Linked DNA regions of Struthio camelus. The protein of the gene in region 3 purifies or fractionates together with the protein of the main gene of each other region. This does not show direct contact. Links are inferred from orthologs where the notes say so. Each region holds a gene or a part of one and is shown on either strand. Other genes may lie near its edges. The genes, in order: NUSAP1, RCC1 and KPNB1.

Region 1 (5,027 bases), on a different chromosome or scaffold from region 3:
ATCTGCCTTGTAGTTAGTCTGTCTCTATGTATAGTTCTTCAGAAAATAATCTAAGAGTTACCTTTTAATAGAAAAAGGAATTCATATGAAAAGGCAATCACAGAGTTTCTGTGAATTTTTACTATACAGGAAAGTGAAAACAGCCTGATTTTAGATAAGTTTCAAAACTTGCCTAACAATCTCGTGAATACTATGATGAACCAATGAAAATAGTCTTATATTCTGATAAAATAATTTGAATGATACAGTCTTTATTTGATCTTTTTCTTCAATAATATTCCCTCCCCCCCAAAAAAATGTACAAAAAGAACAAATTATATGTTCATTTTGGAGTAGTGTATAGTCAAATTGGACAAAAACAGAGCTATAAAGCACAGAAGACCAATAACACTAGTAGGTCTGCATACCAAAAAGTGAATGTTACCTGTTAAACACTGGTAAAATGAATCAACTCCGTTTAACTTATGCTTCACTACATGTGTTTAGCGGAGGGAGGACGGGGCAGACACTCAAACCCAAGAAACGTAAATCACCTCTTTCTCAGCAGAATGCCCTGTATTGTCTTCACTGCTGTTAGTTTCCTCATTGGAATTGTTTTTTTTTCTGGTTGCTTTCTTTTCTTTTCCACGCCTTTTTGTGATAAAACACACTGGATCAGGCATAAGTTCCTCCTGACTGTTCTGTTCATCCAATTCGATGGAAGCAGATGCACTTTCTTCAGAGTCCTATATCAGATAAGTATCATCATATGAAACATATCTGACATATACTACAAAGAGACAGCCTCAGCGTTATTATCGGAAAAGGCGTGGTCTTTAGTAGCACAGCAATGAATGAGTGATATCTAGGTTTCCTTAAATAGCAAGCTGATTATTGGAAGACTGAGACAGAAAACCTACAGTTGTTTCATTATATGCACAATATTCTACAAAGACATTTAAAAAAACCTAATAGTTTATATTGGAAATTTGACTTGCATGATGCTGTGATCTGCCAAGTTTTTACATTCCTATGGAATAACCTTAAAAAAAAAAAGAGAGAGATACAACAACAGCATTCTTCCACACTTATCATACCAGACTGTAATCAGATGTTGGAAAAATATGTAATATATTCAAGTTGTTACTCATGCGTCGAAGCTTGATAAAATTAAAAATAAACTGACAAGGATTACACAAGCTCTCCATATTTTAAAAGAAGCAGATTATAAAGGAAGCATTTAAAATATATGGTGTGTTTTAAATAGATTCTAATTTACTTTTGTCAAAAAATGTATAAACATTCCATACTCAATGAAATACTTACAAAAGGGAAAGCTTTAGGAAAAAAAAAAAAAAATCAAGAAAATAACATATTAAGAGATGATTAAAGGAAAGGTTCTCTTCTCTTATAACATCAGTAAGTAAACTGTAGTAAATGGAGAATGCTTTGAGATGAATACCCAGTCCCTCCCTCATCTAGGCATTTTTATATTTAGTATTGACTAGCACTTGGAGCTAAAGAGGCAAAAATTAAGATTTGGTCAATGGAAATTGAAGTGTTAGCGTTCACAGGGGATAATTTTGTGCTTACACTGAAAAAATACACTGCTGTTTTTGGCATGAGGGGGTGGGGGGAAAAAATAAAAAAAATCAGCCTTCAGTCATACACACAACCACTTTAAAGCTAATATCAACACATCTATTTCAATCAGTATGCAAGTATACTGAACACTGTTTAAAAAAAATATATTTTTTGTTACAGTTTGCACCATGTTAAATGCGACATTCACTACATGCCATACTTTACTAGTTACAAAGTTAGATTTATCTTTCTTAAAGAGAATAGCTAATTTCTCATTATTACCATATTTTCATTTTCTTGTTTTGCTCCATGAAAATGTTGCTTCAGTGCTTTCAACAATTTGTCTGCCTGCAGAGAAATCAAAACATATGAACTAAAGATTATATTAAGTCATCAGACACTTGCACAAACCCTATAAGCACCCTAAAAATCAGTCCAAACTAGCAAAGCACTTGCTGAATCCAATAAAATAGAACTCTTAAAGCATGCTTGAAGCCTCATTAAAGTCAGTCAGATTTGAGAACATACTTAAGGCCCAGGCTAAATATGTAGCATACAAAGAGAGATTTCCCCGACCAGATTTCTTCTGGTCTAGCTATTGTCCAGAAAGGTCGATTGTTCTAGGATAAAAGAAACTATTTCAGCAGCCTAACTGAATGCTAATAACATTGCACCCAACTTCTCTAATAACTTTTTCCCATTTCACACAATACTATATGGAAAGCATTCTCCTCATCCCTTCTGTATATTCACATAGAATAATAATAAAAAAAGACACACCATCGATGTTTTAATCTATGAATAAAAGACTTTAACTGGAAAGGTCAGCATAAAATCAGTTCTGAACTAGAAGTTACACACAAAGTAACAGAGAACCAAAACCCCAAGCAGAAGCCTCAGTCCTGTGAGGACAATTAATCCTTGATCCAAATTACCACATAAGTGGTGCATCTGGGGTTTCCCTCTGTCTGTTTTTAAAGGCTGTACGCCTTCTCGCACTGGTGGTGCGGGTCTGACTTCTGCTGAGGGATTTACCAGCGGTACCTGCCAAGATCAGGCCAGGCTGGGTCACTGTCATATACCCGTAGGGCCCTAGGCAAAACAGATGGGCACATGCTTTAACTCCTTGTTCTTAATTCCTATCGGTAAGTAAAAAATAATCACTCTCGACCCTTCAGGCTCCCCGTGGTTACCACTCTTCCCAGCCCCAGTCGGATGAAACGCCCGCGTCGGCGGGTACGGCCGGCGCGGCGGGGGCAGCGCGGGCACGGCGGGGCTCCACGCGCCAGCGCAGCCCGGACGCGGGGCGGTCGGGGGCCCGGGAAGAAGGGAGCCCCGCCTTCTCAGCTTCGTCTACAGTCTCACGCCCCTAACTGAAGGCGGTAAGGAACGCTTAAGCGTCAAACTATCAAACTGCCGGCTCCACGCCCCAGGCCCGAGCCGCGCCTCTGCCGACACCACCTCCAGACCGCAGGTTTTCTCATCGCAGCGGCCGAAAGCAGAACAACGACCGCGGGGCCGCCGGGGGCACTCGACCCCCACGACGCCCGCCCGCCCGCCCACACTCCCGCCGCTCCCGCTCGGCTCCGCCGGGCCCCTCGCTCCCCCCGGCGCCGCCCTAGAGCTCCCGGCCGAGCGCAGGGGCAGCGCCGGAGGCGAGCCGAGCCGAGCCGAGCCGAGCCGAGCCCGCCCGCCAGAGCGGGCAGCCCGGAGCTCCCGCCAGCCCCGCGCCGCGGCGCCGCTCGCTGCATCGCGGCCGGGCAGCCGCCGCGCCGCCTCACCCGGAGGTTGGCCTTCAGGCCGGCGGCCTTCGCTATCCGCTGGAGCTCGATGTACTTCAGCGAGTCCAGCTGCTGCAACGAAGAGAGCGCCATGGCGGCGCGACCACCGCCCGCCGGCAAGCCCCAACCGCCGCCTTTCGAATCTCGCGCTCAACTGACACGGCGCCTTGCCCCGCCCCCGCCGTTCGAACTGGCCCGCCGCGCCCTCCCACTGGCTGATCGGAGCGAAGGGGACGGGCCCGCGGGCAAGGTAACCACCAATAGCGGCCCGGCCACAGGGATCGTGTTTGTTTCAAAGGCGATAGGCGCTCCCGGTAAGGGGAAACCCTGCCCCCGCCTGCCTGATTGCCCAATGGTCTCAGGCGAGGAGGATTGACTTGTCTCTCGCCCAGTGGCAACGCAGAGCTGTGTCCCACGCTCCAATGGGGAGGCCGAGAAGGCGGGTGCCGCTCTCGAACGCAGGGCGGGAGAAGATGGCGGTGAGGCGGCGGCTGCAGGAGCTGTTCCAGGACCCGCAGCTCGGCGGGGTCATCACCGTGGAGCGGCCGCCGCCGCCCCCCCCCGCACCGGCGCGGGTCCAGCCGCCGCCGGCCCAGCCGCCGCCGGCTGCGGGCTCGGCGGAGGCGGCGCGGCGGCGGAGGCTGCGGCCGGAGGAGTGGGCGGTGTTCCAGTGCCGCGGCTGCCGGGCCGTGCTGGGGGACTCGCTGCACCTGTGCGCGCAGGAGGAGCGGCGCCTCGGGCTTCTCGCCTGCTTCAGTCAGTGCTGCCGGGGCCGGGGCTGCGGAGCGAGGGGTGTCCGGGCTGGCGGGACAGGGCCATAAGCTTTTACTAATGCAGGTTTTAATACCGGAGCGGAAACTTCCAGCCCCGCGTTAGAAAGAGGCCCGTTGTGCGCCTCGGCGGGGCTCTGCGTCGCCTGCCGTGCTGGGGGGCGCTGGGGCGACCGGCCGTTGCTCTGGGGTTGTTCACTGGCTCTGCCTTTCTTCGTAGAAGTCACAAATGAGGTTGCTTGGGAAGAGTCGCTAATGATCGGCCTTGAAGGAGCCCTCCTAGGCTGGTAGGTAACGGACGTACCTCTTGCTTTTGACATCAAGTTTTAGTCATCAGATGAAATAGGTGGACCAAAATAGGCCTCCCCAAAGTCAGAGGGAAAGAGTTCCTGCACGTTTTCTAGCTGGGGCACTGAGATGTCTCGTGGAATTGATAAAGTCCTAAGTGATTTTTGGACCTGTACTTCATAACTTTGAACTGAAAATTCTTTTGTATATGTGTAGCTTTAATTCTTATCAAAATCAGAAGAAGTTTTGTCAGCATTTACCCTTGTTAACGGAGAGAGAGGAATGTTTGAGCAATGCAGTAAAAGGTAGCCTATAGCCTTTTACCCTTTTTTTTCCTCCTGCTCCTGCCTTTTAAGCATATATCATCTAAATTAATATATAAATTATATATTTTATTTATATAAAATATAAATTTTATATATACGAGCATATATATAACACATATATAGAAAAGTAATATTATGCACTTTGTTTGCTCTTCTGGTAAAACTAATAACCTGATGTCCTCTGATTAGCAGGCAGTATCTATGGTTTCAGAAGCTTCTGTTTAAACATACTATTTTCCCCTTTCTCCTTTCAGCACTTTCAATGCATTATCCTGTCGTTCATGTGGCTTGATTGTGGG
Region 2 (5,027 bases), on a different chromosome or scaffold from region 3:
GAGCCCAGGTTGTGAATTACAGTGAAGCAGGTGAAAGTCACTTGCAGGTGTAGGATTTAAACCAGTTTGTGACAGGATGCAATAGGAAAACAAGCACTTGCCAGCTCAGAGTTAGAAAAAGACAACCAGCCTATCTAGGAAAGTGCATGTCAAGAAGAAAGCACATCTATTTGCATTTGCCCTTTCCCCCATGAAAAATTTACATGCCATGAGGTGATCTGCAACCACTTCAGCACAGTTCCAAGCCAGGCGCAACCTCAAGTCTTGCCAGGATCAGCTCAAGCTCCAGAGAGCAAGCAGACAGCCCCACTACCCCCATACACCCTCAGCATTCAACCCATGAGCCAGCAAGTTTCAAACCAGGTACCCAAGACAGACAACTGCTCCTCCAACCCTCCCCCACAGGCATTCACCAGCCTCACCATCCGGTTCAAGCAAGGTTCATCGACTCTCAGAGCAAGGAGAAAGGGCATTCTCCCAAGTTAAATAGCCCATGAGCTATTTAACCCATGAGTGGCACCTCTAGGCCAACTCCAGGCAGACTTTACAAGGCAGCTGTGCTGTTCTCAGACTGCTCTGCAGAGCTGGACTTACAGCTCACGACCACACGCTCGCTCTTACCACGTTCCTCGACTGTGCACGCTCCCTTCAGGTCTCCTCCCACAGCAACCTTCAGTATTTTGTCCTTCAAGGCCCTTTTCCTGTTTAGAAGTTTGTCAGGACAAACACCCCTCTGCTCTTTGTGCCCATTCCACTGTTTCAGACTGTGAAACAGGTTTCTCGTGTAACTCATCCTTATGTTCAACACCCAGGGGTAGATACATGCTCCACTGACCAGGTGGGGAACATTGCAGCTATGAAGCAAAGCTGCTGACATTTAAGTTAAAAGTTCCAAAGGGGTTCATAGGTTCAACAGGAATAAAAAAAGCCTCTAAAGCCTTTGACTTAATTGCAGGGAGAAAATATCTCCCAAAGTATGAAGGATATTTGGAACTTAAAGCAAAGGCACTCCACACCCTCCTCCCCCACCAAACCCTACAGACCAGGGAACTCTGGTGGTTGTAAAGGATACAAAATACCATATATTTATCGGTATCCTCACCAGTATATTTAGTGATAATCATGCTGCTGCTATGACCTTCCTAGCTCAAAAGCAGGCATCACTGGAGATGACGCTGGGCAGACTCTAAAGATCTTCCGAAGGACAACCCTGCTACATTAGCTATGAAACCCTAGAAGTTTAGTCATGGGTCCTGAGCTTCAAGGAATGAACAAATGGCCAACAGTCATGCCAGAAAAAACAGCCATACAACACCATTTCAAAGTAATTTCTTTATTTGTCAGGCATAGCATCACAAACCTCCAGGACATTCACAGAAGTAATTCAAAACTTCCTGAACAGACATTAACACAAGCTATATATGACTTTCACGCCATACTCACACTCTTTTGCCTTCTTCCCCAGCACCAAACAATTCATCTCACCTACAACCAGAAAGATTCACAATGGCTTGCTTCATTTCTCTGGCTCCATTTCAGGTTAAGCACCACAGACAGGTTATCCAAACATTTAACAAGCATTCTCCTAGCTTGTGTAGACAACGTGCACTGGCACACTGATTTCAGGTGCTGTGCACCACGGCCCTTTGTTCCTACAGGCTTTCTCCACTATGTTCCTCAGAGCGTGGCTAAGCCGTGCAGGGTCAGCCCTGCTGAGCAGGCCCTGCTTCACTGTGCAACATTCAACAGTTAGCATGCCATGCAACCACCAGGGCCTTTTCTTCTGATACAGCAGAAAACAGCAGGCCCCCAGAATGAGCACATGCTATTAGATAGCCAAATACAGACATCTTCTCCTTCCAGCCTACTCCAGTGTCTGCGGTCTCATTTTGATTCAACACTTTGCATGAATTGGACCTCATCTACTTCCTCTATTTTCTGGTTGGTAGAGGTGCTCTGAGCATACTCACCATCCCACTAGGCAGACAGGTTACTTTCTGCTGTTAGCATCTCACACTCAGTCAGGGTCTGCAATGTTAAAAAAATTCAACAACAAAAAAAAAAGAATCTTAAAACTTGGCAAGTCACATGGGTTTTTTGCTGTTTATGATCTGCCAGGAAGCACTTTTGTTCTCCCCCTTCTGTAAGGGGCACACAGGGTGCTACGATACTAGCATATATTTTTTCAAGGGACCTCTATCTATTCTGTTAATCCATTCTGCTCATCCATTAAATACACCATTATCAGGTACAAGTACCAGGTATCAAGTACAGGACAGTCACATGCTCCCAGTCCTAAGTAATTGTGGCCCGTGGCTTCTTTCAATGTAATCCCAATGCTCCAGTACCCAGATCAATGATCCACGTTGTTCTTCACAGATGATGTTAAAGTCTGCTCTAGGACTGATTAACATGAGCACATGGGCGATTGCCCCAAGCTCACTAAATCCACAAGTACAATTCAACCATACTTCAGAAACGAATTTTTTTCTATTTTTTTCCTTAAGATTCAGAAGTTAACCTCTCTTTCCCCCCCAATCCATCTAAAGTCTTGTGACATCTCAGAAGTGGGGAAATATCTAAAGCTAAGTTTTCGCTCTTAAATAGTGCCTACCAAGTCTATAATGGTATTCAATTACCTCAAGCTGTTGACCCAATTCATTTTGCGTAAGCCAGCTAAAGGAGTATAGTTCAAGCTTCTTTAGAGAACAAACTATTAAGAGAGCGGCATAACTACAAACACGGAACAATATTACATTACTAGTGCAACATTACCTTGAAAAATCAACGCCCCATTCACTTCAAGCTTCTCAAGCTTACAACTGAAATAAAGAAAACAATATTTTAAGTAACCGCTTGCAAATTAGACCTCATTCGCACTTCTCCCCAAAGCACGCGCAGCGGCTGCCCAACCCCAGCGCAAAGCTATCCCCGAGTTACAGTATTTGTCTCCTGCATGGTTTATCTCCTCCGTCACAGTCCGAGGACTCGGAGAAGCAGTAGGAATATGCAGGCTGCAGACCCGAGGCCCGGCTTCTTCTCCAACGTTGTGGAAAGGGACTGTACGTCACAGGCCCGAAGGCCTACGCTCCCCCGCGCCACACGGACAGAGCCGAGAGAGAGCTACTTCTCCGGATATCCACGTTGGGTTTAGCTCCAGAGCGCCGCAGCCACCCTCAACCCCGGAGCCCAGGGCGCCCCCGCTGCCCCCTACCCCCGCGGCGACACCTCACCTCCGCCCTCTCCGCTCGCCGCCCACAAAGAGACCGAGGAGCTCCGCGCCGCGGAATTTATAGGGCGGGGCGGGGCGGGGCTAGCGTTCCGCGCATGCGCCGCCGGCAGCAGCGCGAGGAGACTGCGCAGCTGCAGGTTTCGATTGGGCAGCTGGTCCGGCGCGTGCGCAGTGTGGGGGAGGGGCCGGGAAGGGCCGCGCGTGCGCAGGGAGAGAGCGCGGGAAAAGGGAAAGGAGCTAACAGCGCGTGCGCAGTGGGAAGGCGCCGGGACGGGGCGGGGGACAGCGCGTGCGTAGCGGGAGGGCGCCGGAAAGGGGCGGGGGGACCGCGCATGCGCAGTGGGAGAGCGCCGGGAAAGGGTGGGGGGACGGCGCGTGCGCGGCGGGAGGGCGCCGGGAAAGGGTGGGGGGACGGCGCGTGCGCGGCGGGAGGGCGCAAAAGGCCGAACCCGCAGCAAACGTCCCGGTTTTTTGTATTTCCCCCTAAAGCTGGCATCGCCAGCCGCTGCGGAGAGGAAGAGGAGTCCGAGCATTCCCTCCCCTTGCCCAGTCCCTTCCCAGAAAGTCCCTTTGAAACGCAGCTCTCCCCCTCCTCACACCATGAAGCCATAAAAATCAGTCTTTTTAAAAAACAAATCCTAAAATACTTTTATTCAATAATTAAAATCTGTTGAGGAGGAGAAGGATATACAACAATGCAATGATTTAGTCCACAGCCATACTGGGGGGAGGGGGGGAAGCCATGAAGGAGGACGCACCCGCTGCCCAGCATGGCGGCAGCAGGGGACAAGGCCGCGCGGGCCGCCCTCGGCTCGGCCTCGCCCGGGAGCCGCAGCGAGCGGTGCCGACGGTCCGGGCGAGGGCAGGGGGACCCCGGCGCAGCAGCTCTCGGCACAGCAGGCCCCAGGGAGTGGGCGCAGAGCGGTGCCCAGGCCCGGCCTGCGGCGGCCCCTCACCCTGCGGTCGAGCGGTCTGTGAACAAGGCGAGTCCTCCCGCCCCGCTGCGCCGCCTCCCCTCTCCCCTTCCTTCAGGGCTGGTGGCATCGCAGCCGCAGGGCTAGGCTTTGCGCACCAGAATTAAAAATCCAAACACTCAGGAAGAACCGACAAGAAATCATTCTCCAAAGAGAACGAAGAGCTGTTTTAAGGTCACTTTTTAAACCTCTTCTCCCCCCCCCCCACCTTCCACCCACACAGTGAAGTTATCAAGTTTCCAGTAGGTTTTGCTGTTTTAAAAAAAAAAAAAGAGAGAAAAGGCAAGTTGCACCCTGATCTGTGAGAATTAAAACAAAAAAAATACAGAGGAAGCCACAATAAAAAGAACTAACTACTATCACAGCTTCCCCAAATTGACTGTTGCCTTTCTACAATGTTTTAAGTTCCTGGCTCTGTAATTTGTTAAACAAGCCTAAGTATCTCAAGGCAAGATCTGTTAACATCAGAGCAAGTGTGAGAGAGTGGAGAGGGAATGTTTTTATACATTTAAGGGTTTTTTTTTGTTGTGTGTGGGGGTTTTTGTTTTTGTTTTTTTTTAAACAAAAGATGCAGCATATGTTAATATCTATACAATTCCCTTCCAGGACAACAAAACCATTGGTCAGTAGTGATTCAGGACATTACGTACATTACAGAGACAAGCAAAACCAAAAAAAAAAAAAGAAGAGAGTCACATGTCAGTTGTCTGCCAGGTCAGCATCTGTGCAGGGTTTCTGTACACAGCTAATATACACACGTGCTTCCTGGCACATCCGCTTCTCCATTCCTCAGCTCTCAAACACCAGAGCTGCCGGGTTTT
Region 3 (5,027 bases):
TTATGCAAAGTTATGTATTTTCTGGATGGATATCAAACATGGTAAAGAATAACCCTCTACTGATTTTCTTGCTTCAAGGCAAACACCCAAACTATAACCTAACACAGGAATTTTTAAAATGTGAAAACAGCTGCTGTGTTGGTGCATTAAATAGATTTGTACGAGTAAGCTTACTATATACTTCCCTGCAATCAAAGATACATATACACAAGTGAAGATTATCCTCACCAAAAAGTGTACGCATAGATAAAAATACTTGACGTCTGTACCACTTGTTTTTGGTGGCATCTAGTGAGAAGCACATCTGCATTTAAATTTGATTTTGCAATTCAGTAGCTTTACATTTTATAGACTTCTGCTGCATACAAGATACAGCTAAAGTTTCAACAGCAGAACATTTTCATTTAACTGGCCAGATGAAGCATTTTGCCTATTTAAAAGGTAAACAACCTTCAGGTAAATAGCAAAAACAGCACTATTTTCAAAACCATTTTATACCAAATAGACAAGGAAGAATGCAGCTTTCCAGAAAACGTTCCATTTAATATATAGTTGCATCTAACCAATTTTTAAAAGTCTGTATAACAGAACTTAGGATACATACAAAGATTTTAGGGCACCAAAAAAATAGTTATTTTTTTAAACTAGCTTAACTTTTAAAAGTTCAATAGAAACAAAGAGCATGCCCAGTATCCTGGACTTTACATTTTCAGTGATCAAGTTTGCCTCTTGAAAAATCTTAATTAGGCTATCTAGTAGATAAAAGTCAAAATGCAGAATTTGGAAACAAAACAGTCATCCAGTTGTCCAGTCAGAAATATCCTGACATTTTAATGCTCTACATAAAAAAAAAATGTACAAATACACCATAATAAAAGAAAACACTTCTCATCCATCAAGAATGTTCACACTTGAGACATTGAGTTCTACTGTGCCAGAAATGGGAAACCGTTCAGAAAAGTTCACAGGGCAAAACAAAAGTGTTGCTGCCACCTTTGAGAAGGAAACCTGACTAGAATTCCAAATTTGAGGAAATGCCCTTGGAGATCTCTCTCATCAGTTAACAAAAAAAAAAAAAAAAAGTCTTTTTAAGGAACTTTGATATAATTCCTGCTAAAAGTTAGAAGCATTACATTAAGATCCAAACCAAATGCAGATGCATATGACTTCCACACTTACAAAAACGCCAATGAAAAATTTCAGAAAAGGGTCTAAATTAAATACAGGAGGGGAAAAGAAAGAATAAGCATATTTGGATAAGTCTCCATTAACCAGCTGGGAGTTCATTTCAGACTTTGTTTGCTTGGCTGCCACTACCAGTAGCCCCCAGCACAGAGCCTCTAACCCAATCCCTTACCTCCTACCTCTTCCCTACTTCCTTCCTGTTCCTCCAGGCCCAGCTAGAGTTCTTCCCAATCACATACCACTTACGAACAACCCAGAACCCTGCATCCTTCCTCTCCTACGCTACCTTTTATGCTTCTTCCGACAAACCCAAGCTTCCTCACTGCACTCATCACTCTCGCGGTTGAGATGGGACTCCTCGGCCCCCATCCGTTGGGAACCTGCACCAACCCACACCCCTTCCCAAACCAGGGCACAAACTTCATCCCTCACGCACCAGCACAAATTCTGCTTCCTCTGCTTGCTGCCTTGACCTCGCTTTTGCGCTCTGAGCCAAGAAAGCAGGTATAAATGAAACCTTGAGAAACTGGCTCATCCCCCAGCTCTTTCAAAAGCCTGAAATGCATAAAATCACGAGCTGCCCAAGGACGTCAATCCAAAATGCTTCATATAACACTGCGCAGGAACGTCAACCTAACCCTGAGGTTATAAGATTTTTAGGGGATCCTAAGATTTAACAAGCAGCCATTCACAAAATTAGAATCAAAACGGACATTTCTGTGTAAAAACTATGTCAATTATGATTCTCAGGGACGCTTCACACTGCTTAAAATGTAACAACAACAAAGACCACACTACTTTTGTGGTTTAGACAAGTGGAGACAAATGCACATATGACCGTTTAAAAAGGAAGAATAAATTTTGCTAGTAACCGTAACAACCAGTGAGTGACAACTAGAATACTGAAGTGACATGAATAACACACCTCTGTTAAAATGAGCTAGGATTCCTTCAAGGACAGCAAATTAGCATCGCAAGCCCTCTCCTGTAAGAGCCTTGAAACAGTTGCAATAATACACCTTGACTAAGCAAAAAATCATATTCCTTCGATGGAGAGTTAAACTTCTCTACACCATCCTCAATTTTAGGACATATATAAAAAAGCTGGGTTTTTTTGGAAAGGAATAGGGCGATGAGAACTTTCATAAGCACGTTTTTTGGTGCGATAAAGCTTTTCCTCTCGAAAACAGAGTTCCCCCCCTCCCCATTCATTCCAGGTAAATTAATCAATCTTAACCTCTCCTGACCCCACCCAGCACAGTGACTCCCCCACCAGGATCCCGACCGTGTCATCGCCCTCCCCAGCCGCCTCCCCGGCACGCGTGCGGGGAAAGGCCTCGAGGATGGGCTCGGAACGGGGCGGAGAAAGACGGGAAGTGGGCCAGGAGAGGAGCTCAGCAAAAAAATAAAAAATAAATTAAAAAAAAAAAAAGGTTGGGGGGGGGGAAAGGGAAAGTGGAGGGGTAGGGGCTGGAGGAGAGATATAAACACCCTGGCAAGGGGCCGGGGCCGCGGCGGGGCGCGGGGAGGCGGCGGGGCCGCACATGGCCCCGCGGGCCGCTCCCACCGCAGCCGGCGCGGCGCTGCGCGGCGCGGACACGCAGCGCGGCGCAGCCTAGCGCGGCCCCTCCCCCCTTCTGCCGGCGCCGCGTCGCCATTGGTCGGCGGAGGCGGCGGGCGAGCCGCGATTGGCCAGCCGCCGCCCCGGCTGGACGCGGGCGAGGTAGGTTGCGCCTTTTATGGCGGTTCGGCCTGGCCGGGCGGGGCGGTGGGGGAGGGGAGCGCGCCCCCCCCCCCCCCCCCGCCCGCTCGGTGTCGCCCGGTGCCGCCGCCGCCGCCCTCCCCGGTTCTCACCAGGTTCTCGATGGCCGCCTGCTCCAGGAACTTCTGCGCCGCCTCTAGCTCGGAGCGGTCTGCCGGGGAAGCGAGGAGAGACGGCAGGGGGAAGCCGGCGTCAGTCAGGTCCCGGGGGCGCCTCCCGCCGGGCCCCGGCTCCTGAGGGCCCCGGGCTCCCGCCGCGCTCCCAGCCCCCTTCCCGCGGCCCCGCTCGCCGCCGCCCAACCCAGCTCCCCTCAGCCAAGCGGCTGCCGCCGCCTCACCTCAGCCGGCCGCAGCCCGCGGGGCTGCTGCGCGGCCTCCCCCTCCCCCCCCCCCCGCCACCGCCGCCGGCAGCGGCCTCCGCCCCGCCCGGCCTCTCCGGGCCTAACGGCCGCCTCAGGCCTCGGCCCGGCCCGCGCCCTACCCGGCGAGACCGTCTTCTCCAGGATGGTGATGAGCTCCATGGCGGCGGCGTGGCGGCTCCGGCACCGGCGTGCGGGGAGCGGAACGAGCCGGGAAGGGGGGGAGGGGAGTGAAGGGAAAGGGGGGGAGGGGGAAAGGAGCCTCCCCCGTGAGAAACGGCAGAGGGAACGGGGTGGGGTGGGGAGGGGGGAGGTCCCGCTCGCGGAAGACCTCGCGGGGCGGCGGCGGCGGCGGCGGCTGCTCCGGCTGCTGCGGCGGGCGGCTGTGGCAGCGGCGGAGGGAGAAAAGGGCCGCGCGAGCGGGGCGGGCGCGCGCGCGCACACCGAGCGGCGGAGGGATACGGCCCGCGGCCCGCCGCCCCGCGCCGCCGCGCTCATTGGCCGGCGGCGGCCGGCGGCTCGCGCTCCCATTGGCCGGCGGCGCGGCGGGCCGGTAGGGGTGCGGCCATTGGTCTGGAAGGGAGAGGAAGGGAGGGGCGGGAAAAGGGTTCCGGCGCCGCGCGCGCTGATTGGGCAACGCGGGGAAAGGGCGCCCCCGCGGCGGGGCCGGGGGAGGGGCCGGCGCGGGCGGCCACGTGGGGCCGGGCCGGGCCCGGCAGCGCGCGCGCGCGCGCCCCCGCTCGCCGTGGGGTCCCGCCGCCGCCGGCGCTGCCCGGGCCCTGGAGGTCCGGGCGGAGGAGCCGCCCGCTGGGGATCCTAACCTGGTATTAACCTTAACCTAGTATTAACCTAAAAGCTACAAGTAAGGGATGCGTGCTCGCTGCACGATGCAGCCTCCGTGCACGCTGTGTTTTCCATGCCCGATGCAGCCTCCGTGCACGCTGTGTTTTCCATGCCCGATGCAGCCTCCGTGCACGCTGTGTTTTCCATGCACGATGCAGCCTGGCCCAAGGCGCGCTTTCTCCACCAAGGTGCCTCGAGTTTTAAGGAGCGTTGAGGGGAGGCGCAGTTGCATCAGCTGGCGGAAACGGGGCCGTTTCCCCAAGGCGCAATTCCCCGCAGCCCTGAAGAACCGGGGGTTGCAGCACAGGACGTGAAGCCTGGGAGATTTCTGGGAGGTCGCGGGAGATGCTTTCAGCTTGGACGGAGTTGTCAGCGGTGGCACAGTTTAGGATAATCAAGGTATGGTGGAGGTTCAGGTAGATCTTTATTGTATGCTCCAGGGGTGCATGCTCTTTACAGCAGAGGCCCCAACCCAGGCTGTAACCGCCGCTCCTACAAGCAACGATACTACAAGTGACACCCGGGCTGCACGGTTTTGTGTTTATGCAACTATTCCTCTCCCCCCCCCCCCCATGGAAAGGACTACGCGATCCCTTGCGTGGGTGCAGTGATAACACCACCAAAAATGACCTAAAGGCCCCTCGTTCTTCCTCCCTCCCGGAGAGGCGCTGCTACACCAGCGCGCTCGCCTGCACGCCCCTGTCCAGCCCAGGCGCTGGACTGCCCCAAGGCAGGGAGATGGCCGCACCAGCTTCTGAGCACGCATGAGGCCTAGCTCAAACTCCACAAGATGCAGGATTTAACAGAGGAATGCCTGGAAAAAAAGGAGAGGAGCAGAACAAAGGTGCAGCTGAATAATTAAACCCAGGTAAAGGCGGG

What was found.
Region 1: the proteins of KPNB1 (region 3) and NUSAP1 purify together in Homo sapiens (affinity purification with mass spectrometry; 3 studies listed by BioGRID and IntAct, counting the BioPlex papers as one, with this or other methods). This does not show direct contact. The link is inferred for Struthio camelus from reciprocal best matches to the Homo sapiens genes KPNB1 and NUSAP1.
Region 2: the proteins of KPNB1 (region 3) and RCC1 purify together in Homo sapiens (affinity purification with mass spectrometry; 3 studies listed by BioGRID and IntAct, counting the BioPlex papers as one, with this or other methods). This does not show direct contact. The link is inferred for Struthio camelus from reciprocal best matches to the Homo sapiens genes KPNB1 and RCC1.

Annotation. Positions count from the first base shown.
Region 1 is NC_090946.1:41,227,637-41,232,663, reverse strand, and holds the start of NUSAP1 (nucleolar and spindle-associated protein 1), read right to left. Parts: upstream 3,533-5,027; 5' UTR 3,438-3,532; coding exon 3,345-3,437; intron 1,912-3,344; coding exon 1,846-1,911; intron 726-1,845; coding exon 534-725; intron 1-533. Other genes in the region: OIP5 (protein Mis18-beta), read left to right, coding at 3,818-4,100, 4,335-4,401, 4,983-5,027. UniProt on the Homo sapiens protein: Microtubule-associated protein with the capacity to bundle and stabilize microtubules. May associate with chromosomes and promote the organization of mitotic spindle microtubules around them.
Region 2 is NC_090964.1:6,353,025-6,358,051, forward strand, and holds the start of RCC1 (regulator of chromosome condensation), read right to left. Parts: upstream 3,321-5,027; 5' UTR 3,234-3,320; intron 3,149-3,233; exon of another isoform or gene 2,944-3,148; intron 2,823-2,943; 5' UTR 2,776-2,822; intron 2,029-2,775; 5' UTR 1,971-2,028; intron 1-1,970. UniProt on the Homo sapiens protein: Guanine-nucleotide releasing factor that promotes the exchange of Ran-bound GDP by GTP, and thereby plays an important role in RAN-mediated functions in nuclear import and mitosis.
Region 3 is NC_090966.1:5,915,047-5,920,073, forward strand, and holds the start of KPNB1 (importin subunit beta-1), read right to left. Parts: upstream 3,804-5,027; coding exon 3,428-3,803; intron 3,099-3,427; coding exon 3,040-3,098; intron 1-3,039.